Alligator mississippiensis: one gene and its partner. The protein of the gene in region 1 purifies or fractionates together with the protein of each later gene. This does not show direct contact. Links are inferred from orthologs where the notes say so. Each region holds a gene or a part of one and is shown on either strand. Other genes may lie near its edges. The genes, in order: OTUD6B and OTUB1.

The links.
Region 2: the proteins of OTUD6B (region 1) and OTUB1 fractionate together in Homo sapiens (co-fractionation; 4 studies listed by BioGRID and IntAct, with this or other methods). This does not show direct contact. The link is inferred for Alligator mississippiensis from reciprocal best matches to the Homo sapiens genes OTUD6B and OTUB1.

The regions. Positions count from the first base shown.
Region 1 is NC_081826.1:45,999,319-46,005,943, reverse strand, and holds the start of OTUD6B (deubiquitinase OTUD6B), read left to right. Parts: upstream 1-2,908; 5' UTR 2,909-3,056; coding exon 3,057-3,144; intron 3,145-6,625.
Region 2 is NC_081838.1:4,618,500-4,625,124, reverse strand, and holds OTUB1 (ubiquitin thioesterase OTUB1), read left to right. Parts: upstream 1-2,128; 5' UTR 2,129-2,181; coding exon 2,182-2,233; intron 2,234-2,430; coding exon 2,431-2,492; intron 2,493-2,595; coding exon 2,596-2,694; intron 2,695-3,189; coding exon 3,190-3,308; intron 3,309-3,383; coding exon 3,384-3,468; intron 3,469-3,577; coding exon 3,578-3,772; intron 3,773-4,156; coding exon 4,157-4,351; 3' UTR 4,352-5,105; downstream 5,106-6,625. Other genes in the region: ADP-ribose glycohydrolase MACROD1, read right to left, coding at 5,786-5,817, 6,617-6,625. UniProt on the Homo sapiens protein: Hydrolase that can specifically remove 'Lys-48'-linked conjugated ubiquitin from proteins and plays an important regulatory role at the level of protein turnover by preventing degradation.

The DNA of each region.
Region 1 (6,625 bases):
GAGCTAATGGGGAGGTTGAGGAGAAGGAAGAGTAAATGAGCTTCAGAGAGAATATGGCAACCGGCTTGACCATAAAAGTTATTTTATTGCCAGGTATATGAAACGTATAAGGGCACTAGTAGGAACAGCCATACAGGAGAGACAAATAAACAAAGCAGTTACAATGTTGGACAGTTTCAACTGGGTATTTGGGGAAGTCTAGCTCAAGTTTGATTAACAAAAGTCAGGCTTATAAACCTGTGCCTGGAGAGGCAGAGGCTCTCACCACTCAGTGAAGCTTTAACTGGTTGAGGTTCCCAGGTGTTTGGGGAGCTTGCAGACAATTTGTTTAGATTCAGGTCCAGGGGGTTGGAGACAGGCAGAGCCCCCAGCACAATCAGTGAAGATATTCCAGGCAAGAAAGGAAAAGGTGAAGTCCCAGCGAAATTGGTGCAGTGTTTGGATCCAAGTACCAGAACAGAAACTTGAGCTTGGGTAGGGGTTTTTGTAGGGAAATAACAATGGTTCAAGGGAGAACACTAGGTTAGTTTATGGGTAAATGATTTGGAGCAGGGATCCTCCATCATGCAGTGCTCCCCAGCTTCTCTGGTCCTAGAGTTCAGTGCAGTCCCTGCCTTGGAATTTCTGTTCTCCACTCTGAATGCTAATGGAGGTGCCTCCCTTTCTCATCTCTGATGCAAATGGGACTAGGGGAGTTACCTTAATCCTGTCACCCTTGTCCGGAGAGTTTTAGGTGCGTCTCTCACTGCATCTTCATTGCCTTTTGTAAGTCCTTCTTCTGATCACTTCTGGTTCAGGTGGGGGTAGGGGGAATCCTTCATGAGTCACACAGGCTGGGTACTGCACCAGGGTTCCCCAGGAACACAGAGCTGACAGGTAACACCCTCCTGGTCTCCCCCCCACCCCCCTGCATCAGACCTTCTCCTGAGTACCTGTCTCTGGGTCCCAGGCTCTCTATTCCTCCTGGCCCCTCATCTCTGCTGCCCCTCTCTAGGCTACGGGTTCACCACTCCTCTTCCCAGGCCTATATATTCCAAGGCCTGGCCTGTTTCTGGGCCCTGGCCTTGTTCCCATGCTCAATGCTGCTTCCCCCAGCTCAGCAATTCTCTCAGGAGCCCTGCTACCAGGAGCTCCTCTCCCCATGGACTGACTGACCAGCTCAAGCCCAGCCTCCTCCTGGTCGGGTGACACTCTCATCTTTTATCTTTAGGTATGCTCTTTCCAGTGTGACCTTGCTGTAGCTTGCTGTTGCACAGGGTTAAGTGGAGTACAGTAGTGTGGAGCCATGGATGTGCCTTGGAAGTATCAATAGTGGTCAGAAGCCCCTTGCTTAGTGTTCAAAGAACACAGTCTGCTGCATTTGACAGTCTCTTGTGTGCAAGTGGTAGGGCACACAAACTTTTTTTTGTCTTTGGTGCAGATATTTTGGGCTGGGTCAAATCTTGTAGTTTTAAACTGGCAAAATTCCAACTGATATCAGTGAGAATTTGGCCTGTATAAGAGATCCGGGATCAAGTTGTATGTCTCAACCGGTAATTACAAGGATATAGAGACTCCCTATGCCTGAAGAAGGGTGTTTGCACCCGAAAGCTTGCTAAGAACTTTCCAACTACTCAGTTGGTCTAATAAAAGATATCACATCTACTCAAAAACCTTGTCTGCATATAAAACGAAATTTATTGTGTTAGCTGAAACACTGCAAGATCTAGAAAAGATCATAAAATACACAATAGTGCAGAAGAATAATAGTATTTAATGATCTTTTACATTGAAGAACGTTTTAAAAAATGTGTTTTAAGAGTGGTTTAAAAAAACTATATAGATATATATAGATGTGTGTGTGCATATATGTATTTGTATAAATCTATGTAACATACAAACATATATACAAAAGCTTGCTGCTGTAGATAGATAGGCACATACACAATATCTGTCTATCTCTAGATAGATAGATATAGATATACGTGTGTACACCGAGGCCCACACATGCGCACACACTTGCTTCCATAAAGGAACATGAAAATACAATTATCAAATCCTAATTGTTTTAATAGTGTGTTCTAATAGCCATGGGGCTTCTTACATGTGTCTACATATTCTTCTAGTGTCCTCATCACTGTGATGTACACATTAGCCTATTTCAGTGGTCACCAACTGGTCTATCCTGGTCGATTGGGGAGCCCTTGACAGTTGATCTTAGTTAGATCAACCGTCACAGGCTCCACATTCAGGACACATGTGGGGAGTCACTGGGACACAGTAGCGGAACAGCAGAATGTATGAGTGACAGGACGCACAGGGCTAGGCTGAGCTCCGCCCCCTGCTGCCGGGGCTGGGCCGGGTGAGTGGGACAGTCCCTTTCTGCACCCTCTACTACCCACGCAAAGCCCAGCGAACAGCAATAGCCGCCTCGCCATGTGCCCCCGTGCCTCTGCTGGGGTGTGTGCAGCAGCAGGAGCCCCCCACGTGCCTGAACAAGGCACCTGGGCACTGACCCTCCCCTGGCCTGGCCCAGCCAGGGCCCCACTCGCCCCTACCCCTACCCTAATTCCTCCTTCACCGCAGAGGCCTCAGTAATTAAGTGTGTGTGTGTGTGGCGCGCGCACATGTGAGGGACAAGGTAGCGGGGAGAGCTGGAAAAAGCAAAGGGGCAAATCGTATGCACGTGTGTGTATATATACACGTACATAGCTATATATGAATCCCCCCGCCTCGCTGTATTTCCGGGGGGACGGAAATGTTCTGGAGCAACACTTATTGCCCCAGGGACAGGACAGACGCGTGTCCTAGGTGCTCGGCCTGTCCCTCACAAAGCTGGGAAGCGGCGTGGGAGTGTCCCCACCCCTACGGAGCAGCAGGGGAAGCGAGGGCTCGGCAGGGAGCAGGCGCGGTACCTCCCCGCGCCGGCCACAGGGACCCGCCTCAGCTGCGCGGCTCGGGACCAGGCGGGAGGAAGCGGCCGGCAGTGGAGCGCCACCGCCCCTTCGCGAGCGCCTGGACCCGGCTGCGGCAGAGGCGGGGCTGTGTGCGGCCTCCCGGAAGCTGCCGGCAGCCCCATGGACGGCTCCGGGGAGGACGAGCCGGCGGAGGGCACGGTGCAGCTGCTGGCCAGGCGGCAGCGCAGGGAGAAGCGGGAGCTGCAGGGTGAGCTGAGCCGGCCGGGGGTAGCTGCGGCGGCAGCGGTAGCCCCTTGCACTGCGCTCCGCTCCGCGCGCGCTTCCCGCCTGGGGGCCGCTGGGCCCGGGCGGGGGGATTCCAGGACTCCGCGTTCCAAAAGCGCCGTCATCATCTTCGTCACAATCGCCGTCAGCGCGTCATAATGACCCTCGGCATCGGTCTGCTGGCGGGCTCGGATCTCCCCTGCGGGCGGGCGGCTGGAGCACGGGCGCACCTGTGGCCCAAGGGCTTAGTCCGGGACGGGGGAGTCTGGGGCTCGATTAATTCACTGGAATCAGCCCATTGTCCCCAGGCCAAGTGCTAATTCGGGCCCTTGGCAGGTTCCTCGCGTGGGATCAATGGACCCGGCCCTGTGTGGAGTCTGGGCTTTGCTGCCTAGGAGGCCTGGAAGCCTCATCTGCTTTTAGCCTTAGGGCCCTGCTACAGCCCCAAATGGAAGCTGGCTAGAAACCGGCCAGAGCATGGTTGGGTTTTCAAACACTAATGGTGTAGCTGGCTGGCTCTTTTTATAGCTGCCCAGTCACCTGTATGGTCTGGGAATTTCTTGGATGCTTCTGCTTTACCTTTATTGCGTGACTGATAATATATGTAACATGTAGTAGGGGCCGAGGAGTAACCAGGTAATCACACCTTAAGTTGTGATCCAGCTACGAGTTTATCCGTTAGATGGTGTTAAAAAATGTGTGATAGCTTTGTAGCTTGTCCTAATTATGCCACTAATTGAATGTGTGGCCAAGTGCTTCCTTGTGGCTGGGAGCCCTGGCACCTGAGGGACTCTGAGCCACAGGGCTGCACCACTTGCTGCCAGCTCCACAGCTGACGAGTCTTGCCATGGTGATGGCATTCCCATTGCTGACCCTGCTGTGAGTCTCAACAGCTGTGGGCCTTGCAGTAGGGACAGCCTTGTTGGCTGTAGGTCTCATAGCGGGGGCAGTGGGAAGAATCCTGGGGGGCTCACAGCCATGAGAGCCAGTGCAGGGGATCATGATCTCCCTCTACTGGCAGTAAGGTGTGATAAGCTCTAATGCATGATCCTAAAATAGTATCTTTTGCCATGCACATGTGGCATGGCAGGAGGCATGATTGTGCAGATCGCGCATTAGATTCCATTGTGCCTTTATCTGCACTAGAGGTGCACCGATACATTTGTCCATATCGTATCAGCACTGATAAAAGGAAATTGACATTATTGGCAGTCAGCTTTTTTTGGCCAAAGAGGTTGATAATGTCACCGATAAATGTTGTGTGCACGTGCACAGCTGCAGCATGCATGTGGGCAGGAATGCAGCCCAGCAATTTGGAGAGCAGCATCTATCTGATAAGTTTGTGGGGAAAGGGACATAGTGGAGGCAGATTGAGGCCCCCACAGCGAGGGAAGGAGTGGAGCTGGGGCAGGTGGGACAGGGCATGGGATGGAGCTGCAGGTGGCTCACCCAGGGGGTGGGGAGGGCAGCTTTCGACGCTGCATGTGTCCCACGGGAGGCATGGGAGCCATGTGCCCCCCAGATTTGTGCATGGGACAAGGGCATGCTGCCTGCTGCAAGTTTGGGGCTGGAGGCTGAGCCGAACTCTTCCCGGTGGGAGGGCTGGGGTTGCACTCGGGGTGGGTGGAGGTGGGATGAGTGGTGGCAGCATTGGGAGGGGGGGCTATGGGGTATTTTGGGGTGGCTGTAGTCCCCCCTCCCAGTGCTACCACTGCCCACCCCCAGTGCAGCCCCAGCCCAGCCTCTGACCCTGAGCCCACAGTGGGCGGCCTGCCCTCACTCCATACACAAATACGGTCGGCATATTCCCCCTATGCTTCTGCGAGGGATGCGCACAGTGGTGGGAGCTGCCACTTCCACCCCTTGTACAAGCTGCCTGCGGCTCTATCCCCCACCCCGCCTCGGCTGGGCAGTGCCTGCCTCTGCCCCTGCCCCACTCCTTCCCTCACCATGGGGGCCTCAATCCACTCCTCCTATGCCCCTTCTCTCCTCTATGCCCCTTCCCCCCTACAGGCCTACCTTCCGGATGCTGCTCTCTAAGTTGCCGGGCTGCATATTGGCAATCAGATCAGTATTGACTAATATGGCTGGTTAATAATTGGCCATTGGTATTGGCCAAAAAAATCTTTATCGTGTGCCCCTAATTTGCACATGTAGAGGGGCACTAAGTGTGCAGCTATGCCCTGCCTTCTGCTCTACTTCAGACTAACCCTGCTGACTGCCTTTCTGTAAGGTGCCTATAAAGTAGTATCTCCCGTGCCTTCTGCCTCTCAGATTCAGTTGATGTGCCACAAACTTTGGTCTCTCACCTTTCCCACTCCCATGTTGTCACTGTGGGGCTGTGACCCTGAAGTGTTCTTATTTTCTGTTTCCCCCCAGAACTTCTCAGCTGTAATGTGGCCTTAACAGGAGTGTTTCTGCTTATCTCCATGTTGTTAGTTAAAAAAAATAATATAATGTAATAATCTAATGTAAAGGGACTTCAGAAAAAGTTCTAATGCCCAGTCAGAAACATCTAGTACTTCATCTTTAATATCATTTAAGTTTGTCAAGTTAAAAGGTAGGTTTGCAGTAATGTAGGGTTCTAAAATACTTTGCTTGAAACTATTCTTGATTTCCCCTGAGACTGTGCAACTGGGATTCACACAACCCAAAGAGTGTGTGCGCACTAACGGCAAATGGACAGGTCGGTACTCTTCAAGGAAAAAAATCCTCTATAGCAGAGGTGTGCAAAATACAGTCCGCAGGCTGGATCAGGCCCACCAACTGATAGGATCTGGCCTGTGGACGGGCATCCACCAATTGATTTCTACCCCATGGCTGCCACTGGTTCTCCATAAGGGGCTGAGCCCTGCCCGCTCCTGCCCAGGGAAGCCTGTGTTGCACTCCTGCCTGTGCCTGCTGACATCCCTGGCCAGTGTGCATGGCTTCCCAGTGGGGCCAACCCCAGTGCACCTACAATTGCCTAGGTACTGCTCAGCTCCCCCTGCCATCAGTATTTCCTTTTCTTCCTCCTGTCCCTGCTGAACTGCTCCAGGCAGCAACTAGCTTGAGGAAGTGACGGTGGCCACGGGGACATGTGCGGACGCCATGAACCCATCCAGGTGGTGGGGAGCTGCAGGTGGGTGGATCCTGGGCCAGTGCACAGGGGCTCCAGCTCAAGCTCCAGCTCCCAGCCATCTTCTACCCACTCAGCCTCTCACAAGTGGCTGCTTGTTGCACCAGGTGGGCAGAATGGGTGGAAAGTGGCTAGGAGCAGGAGCCCTGCATGCTGGATTAGGAGCTGCCTGGCTGCAGCTTCCCCCTTGTCTGGACAGGCACCTTCTGCCTGGAGCAGCACAACAGGGGCAGGAGAAGGAGCTGCTGGAGGCAGGAGGAGCTGAGCAGTACCTGGGTGGCTCCAGCAACAGCCCCACCAGGAAGCTTTATGCCAGGGCTGAGGCAGTGCTGTCTAGCCAGCTCCT
Region 2 (6,625 bases), on another chromosome or scaffold:
GGGTGCTGCAGGGGGTAATGTGCCCATTTCCCCCCTCCCCCAACCAACCAGTAGGTGTCAGTGGGGCTGAGTCCAGGCAGGGGGCTGGGAGCCAGCAAGGACCATGGTAAGTGGGAGAGGGGCTGCGGGTCGGGAGCGAGGGGCACCAATCAAGTTGGGGGGCAAGGGGCTGCGGGTCTGGAGCAAGGGGCACCCATCGAGCAGGGGGCAAGGGGCTGCGGGTCTGGAGCAAGGGGCATCGATCAAGCAGTGGGGCAAGGGGCTGCGGGTCTGGAGCGAGGGGCATCGATCGAGCAGGGGGCAAGGGGCTGCGGGTCTGGAGCGAGGGGCACCCATCGAGCAGTGGGGCAAGGGGCTGCAGGTCTGGAGCAAGGGGCACCCATCGAGCAGGGGGCAAGGGGCTGCGGGTCTGGAGCAAGGGGCATCGATCGAGCAGTGGGGCAAGGGGCTGCAGGTCTGGAGCAAGGGGCACCCATCGAGCAGTGGGGCAAGGGGCTGCGGGTCTGGAGCAAGGGGCACCCATCGAGCAGGGGGCAAGGGGCTGCGGGTCTGGAGCAAGGGGCACCCATCGAGCAGGGGGCAAGGGGCTGCAGGTCTGGAGCAAGGGGCACCCATCGAGCAGTGGGGCAAGGGGCTGCGGGTCGGGAGCAAGGGGCACCCATCGAGCAGGGGGCAAGGGGCATTGGCAGGGCTCTGAGACCTCCCCCCCACCTCCACTCTCAGGCCCAGCGTGACACGTCCCACCTGCCCATCTATGTCTCCAGCCACTTCCAGCACCTGCCGGCCCCGACGGCCCCCCCGGCTGCCCCCTCATCCCCACTGGGCCCCAGGCGGCCGCGGCCCCCTCCCCTGCGCAGCCAGTGGGAGAAGCGGAGCATCGCTGAGAGGCTCCAGCTTGGCTTCAGCCTGGTGCCTCGCCGCACCCCCCTGGGCTGCTACCAGGGCCGCGCCGTGCCCCCTCGCACCTGCTCCCACCGCCTGCCTGGCGAGGGCCGCAAGGCCCAGAGGTGAGTGCAGCTCGGCCCGCCCGGCGCATCGGGCTCCTCTGTGGCTTGGGGCTGTGCTACAGGGGGCCGGGGACTGCGGGTCGGGAGTGAGGGGCACCGGCGAGCGTGGGGGGAGCAGGGTTTTGCAGGAGCCCCCTGGGGTCCATGCTCTGCCCCCCCTCCCAGCCCCAGGCCCTGGTCCCTGGAGCATGAGCCCCCGAGGGGGACCGTGGCCAGATCCCTGCTGCTCCCCGCGGCCTGGACCAGCCTCCCGGACATGAAGGAGCTGGAGCCCCCTGCAGAGGTAATGGGGGGGGGGGGGCTCCCAGGGCACCATGGGAGCTGGGGCGGGCAGTGTGAATTGCAATGGGGGGTTAGCCGGGGGGCTTCGGGGCTGTGGGGGGGCAGATGTGGGGGATCTGACGCGGGGCAGAGTTGAGGGGATTCTCTGCAGATGCCCCAGGAGAGGGCAGGACCCTTGGCCTTCCCCAGGCCCTCCCAGTGGCAGAGCCCGGCCCCGGGGGCGCTGGCATGGGGGGCAGCGGGGGGCGCTGGGCCTGGCCGCCCCTTGCGAAGCTCTGCTGGGTCAGCGAGGGTCACCGGCTTGGGGGAGACCCCCCAACGCCCCCTTCTCCCGCCAGGGCCCGGCCCCAGCCCTGCTCCCGCCTGCAGCTGCGACCCCGCCGGAGCGCCTGCGGCCTGGAGGGGCCCGTGCGCCCCCGCCCTCGGCTCCGGCGCCCGGAGCGGGGGACACGGCGGCCCGCGGCAGTGCCCCTCGGGGGGCGGATCGCCTGTGATGTCATCTCCAGCCTCAGTTTCCCCAGCTGCGCTCCTGGTCCCTGCCCCCCCCCCCACCGCAGGACATGGGGGCATGGGGAGGAGATGGTGATGTCACATGATGATGTCACGGAAACGCCCCCATTCCAAGCAAGGCGGCTGCTCTGACACGGGTGCTGTCACGTCACTGCCGGGTGATGTAATGGCAGGGCATCCCGCCACCGGCCGCTCTGACGTCACCGATGAAGTGACACCAATGCGGTCCCCGCCCCCGTTAGCTGTGATGCCGGATGACCTCATGTCTACACCAACCTCGTGGGGCGGTGACGTCGCGGGGTGAGGGCGGGGCCCGTTGCCAGGGCGGCACTTCCGGCGGGGCGGGCCGTGACCCGGAAGCGCTCGGCGCGGCGGGGCCGAGATGGCGGCGGAGCCTCAGCAGCAGCCGGAGCCGCTGGGGGGGGACGCGGACGGTACCGGAGGGGGGGGAGCACGTGACCCCGCGGGACCCCGCCCCAACACCTGGGTCTCCCCCGCCCCGGGGCGCCCTCTGACCCCTGACCTCTGACCCGGGGGGGGACAGCCGGGCCCCGCCCCCCCCCGGGCCGGCCTGGGGAACCTGGGCGGGGGGGGCCGGCGCCCCTCCCCCCTCACGCGCCTTGTCCCGCAGGCGTGAACTGTCTGGCCTACGACGAGGCCATCATGGCGCAGCAGGACCGCATCCAGCAGGAGGTGCGGGGGGGCCTGGGGCGGGGACCCCTCCCCCTCCCCCTGCCGGGGGGGCGGGGCTCGGTGCCTGGACGCGCGGCCCCAACCCGCCCCCCTCCCCCCCCAGATCGCCGTGCAGAACCCGCTGGTGTCCGAGCGCCTCGAGCTGGCCGTGCTCTACAAGGAGTACGCGCCCGACGACCTCGTCTACCAGCACAAGATCAAGGTGCCCCCCCGGCCTGCTCCTCCGCCCCGCCCCCCTCTCGCTCCTGCCCCTGGAGCCAGGAGCTCCTCCCAGCAGGGGGCAGATGCCCTTTCTACCCGACTCCTCCCTTCCTGCGCCCCGCCCAGCCAGGCCCTGGCTCCGCCCCCTGCACCTGAGCTCCACCCCCAGGCCAGGTGAACTAAACCCCGCCCCCTAAACCAGCCCCAGCCCCCCTAGCACTAGGCTCCACCCCCCACAAATTGAGACTCCACCCCCTGTCCACAGAGGCCTGACAGCCCACCAGCTAAGCCCCACCCCCTAAGTCAGACCTTGACTGTCCTGCTCCCCACAACCCTGCCCCAGGTCAGGCCCTGCCCTCTGCCCCCAAGCCCCGCCCCCAGGCCAGACCTGGACCCTGCCCCCAAACCCCTGGGTGGTTGCGCCCCACCCCTCCCCCCCTCAGCTCCTGTCCAGGCTCCACCCCAAGGGCGTGGCCTGACAGAGCCCCACTCTCAGGACCTGCTGCAGAAGTACTCGTACATCCGCAAGACGCGGCCGGACGGGAACTGCTTCTACCGCGCCTTCGGCTTCGCCCACCTTGAGGCGCTACTGGGCGACCGCACCGAGCTGCAGCGGTGAGGCCTGGACCCTGGGTTCTGGGGGGGCAGACTCTGGCCCCGCCCCCTGTGACCCCGCCCTCCCTCTCCCAGGTTCAAGGAGATCTCGGCCAAGAGTAAGGAGGAGCTGGTGTCTCAGGGCTTCACCGAGTTCACGATCGAGGACTTCCATAACACGGTAAGGGCACTGCCCCCCCCCCAGCATGGGCGGAGCTCATGCTGGAGGCGGGGTTTCGCACCTAGGCCTCCGTCCCCGCCCTGCCTCAGTTTCCATCTTCCCCCCGCAGTTCATGGAGCTGATTGAGCAGGTGGAGCGGGGCGTGGCGCCCGGCGAGCTCCTGGCCGCCTTCAACGAGCAGAGCACGTCCGACTACCTGGTGGTCTACCTGCGGCTGCTAACGTCCGGGCACCTGCAGCGCCACGCCGCCTTCTTCCAGCACTTCATCGAGGGCGGGCGCGGCGTCAAGGAGTTCTGCCAGCAGGTGGGCAGAGTCTGGGCCAGGAGCCTGCCGAGGGGTGGTGCATGGGGTCACCTATGAAGCAGGGCCAGAGGAGGGCTGTTCTCTGGGGCTGGGGCCTGGGCAGGAGCCAGAGCTGGTGTGATGGGCAAGGGCTGTGTGTGCTGGGAAGGGGCGAGGCCTGGGAGGGTGGCAGGGGGCGGGGCCTAGAGGAGTAATCTGCTCTGGTGGGGGAGGGGGCAGGCTTCATCAGGATGGGTGGGGCCTGCCCTGGGACTTCTTGGGGGCATGAGTGAGCAGGGCGGGTCCAAGTCAGTGGGGGTGGAGCTTGTCAAAGGCATGGCGAGGGGCAGGGTGGGGGCGCTCCCGCGTCTCTGACACCCACCCCGCTCCATGCCGCCGCTGCAGGAGGTGGAGCCCATGAGCAAGGAGAGCGACCACATCCACATCATCGCGCTGGCACAGGCCCTGCAGGCGCCCGTGCGCGTCGAGTACATGGACCGAGGCCGCGGCGCCACCAACCCCCACGTCTTCCCCGAGGGCGCTGCGCCCCGCGTCTGCCTGCTCTACCGTCCCGGCCACTACGACATCCTCTACCCCTGACCTCCAACCCCCGACCTCCCCCTCTGCCTGCTCCACCGCCCCGCCTGCTGCAGCCTCCTCTCCCCGACCCCATCTCTGCCTGCTCCACTGCCCCAGGAACTGCCCCTGCCACAGACAGAGGTGACCACGGACCCCCAGCTGCCCCAGCCCCTCCCTCCAGCCCCATCAACTGCCCTGGTCCCCTGCCACCTGTTCCCTGCACCTGCCCCAATGTACCCCCCCACACGTGTCTGTGCTGGTGCTGGGGAAACTATATCCCCCCCAAGCTCCCCCTTGGGCCCTTCCCCCCGCTCCCCCCCATTAGCCTATGACACCCTTTGCCCAGGCCCCCTACGACTGCGGCACCCTTGGCCAGGCATGGAGGCCCCTCCACCAGCTCCTACCAGGCGGGAGGGAGGGCAGGAAAGGACCCCTCAACTGTACCCCCCTCAGGGTCTCTTCCTTGACTCCCCCTCCCTCAGCCAGCACGCCCCCTCTGGGACCGGGGGGGGGGAGCAGAGTTCCCCCCTCCTGCTCCCCCCCACTCCCAGTGACACCCCAGCTCTGCCCCAGCTGTGACCAGGGCAACTTCCTCTACAAGGTGGAGAGGGGGCTAGAGGGCCCCAAGTCCCTGCCCCCAAAGTAAGGACCTGCCCTGGCCACTGCAATGGGGGGGGGAGGGGCACAGCTGAAGCCCCCCCCTGGTGCTGCCCCCCCTCCCCCTCTTATCTGGTTCTCTTGTCACCTCCTGTGGCCAATAAAGGGGAAGCTGGAACCAGTGGCTCAGCATGTGTGTCTGGGTGTGTGTGCACGCATGTGTCCCAGACACCTGCAGGGGGTGGGGGGGTCATCCCAAACGCCTCAGTTGTGTGCACACGTGTTCCAGATGCCGTGTGGGGGGGCAGGGGTGTCCGTGTCCCAAGTGCCTGGGGGCGGAGTCCCGGCTGCCTGGGTTCTGGGGTGGAAGCCGGGGGGGGGGGGGTTGAGGGAGTGTGTGTGCGCCCATGTTCCAGGCACCTGGGTTCTGGGTGTGCGGGTGGGGGCGTGTGCCCAAGTGTGCAAGTGTGTGTGTACACGCATCCTGGACACCCGGGTTCTGGGTGTGACGCCTGGATCCATGGTGTCCTGCAGGCGGCAATGCCCCTCACTCCCAACCCGCAGTCCCTCTGTCTTCTCTGCCATGCACATGGTGGCATCCGAGACATGAAAACCAAGTGACACCACCAGGGTCTGCAGCCCTGCTTCCCCCATTGCTGCCCCCTAATCGCAGCACAGCCTTGGCAGGGATTATGGGGTGGTCACCTCACAGCCTGGGAGGGAACCCAGACCTCTGGCACCCCACTGCCTCACCAATGCAGCCACTGACACCAAATCCTTTATTAGCCAAACACTGGGGAGGGGCAAAGTGCCAGGGGGGTATGCCCTGTCCCCAAAATACATGGGGAAGGGGGGGAGTCAGTCCAGGGCAGCAGCATCCACGGAGTCACCTGGGGGCAGAGGGAGATAGGTCAGTGCCACCCAAAGACCCCTCCGCCCTGCCAGTGCCCGTCACTCCTGACCTGCAACCCCCTGCCCACCCAGCCCTGCCGGTGCTCCTCACTCCTGACCCGCAGCCCCTGCCTCATCCTCTCCTGCTGGGGTGCTGCAGCCAGGCCTGTTAGTGCAGACATAGGGCCCCCCCCCAGCAGGAGACCCCAGGGGTCCGGGCTCCTTCCCAGAGCAGGGAGCGAGCCCAGGTGTCTGGGGGCAAGGGGGTGTTAGTGCAGGGGGGGGTTCACACAGCTCTTACCCAAGGGGGGGTGGGGTCATGGCCTCAGGCTGGAAAAGAGGGAGGGGCAGATGAGTCCTAGGGTAGCCCCGCCCCCTTCAGGGATGATCCCGCCCCCTCCTGGCTACAGCCCCCCACACAGATGGGGCTATGGTTGGCAGTTGGGGGGCTGCTGGAGCCCTGGGATGCATCTTGGGGGAGGCAGGGAACAGCTTGGTTGGGGGGAGGGGTCCTCCTGGGTGGAGGGTAAGGGATGTTTGGGGCACCCCCCCCCCCCCAAGTCTTGTGGGGGAGGTGGGGAGAGAACCCGGGAGTCCGGTGGCGGGGCAGGGACCCTGGCAGCTGGGGGGTGGCAGAACCTAGGCACCAAGGGGGTGGGAAGGGGGGCAGGGAAGCCAGGGGTCTGGGCACTGGGCAGGGGAGGGGGGGAGGTCTCGGGGTTGTTTGGGGGAGTTGGAGGAAGACCCTAGGTGTCAGGGGCATCATGGGAGGGGGGGGGGGGGGGGGGGTCTCCATACCAACGGGGA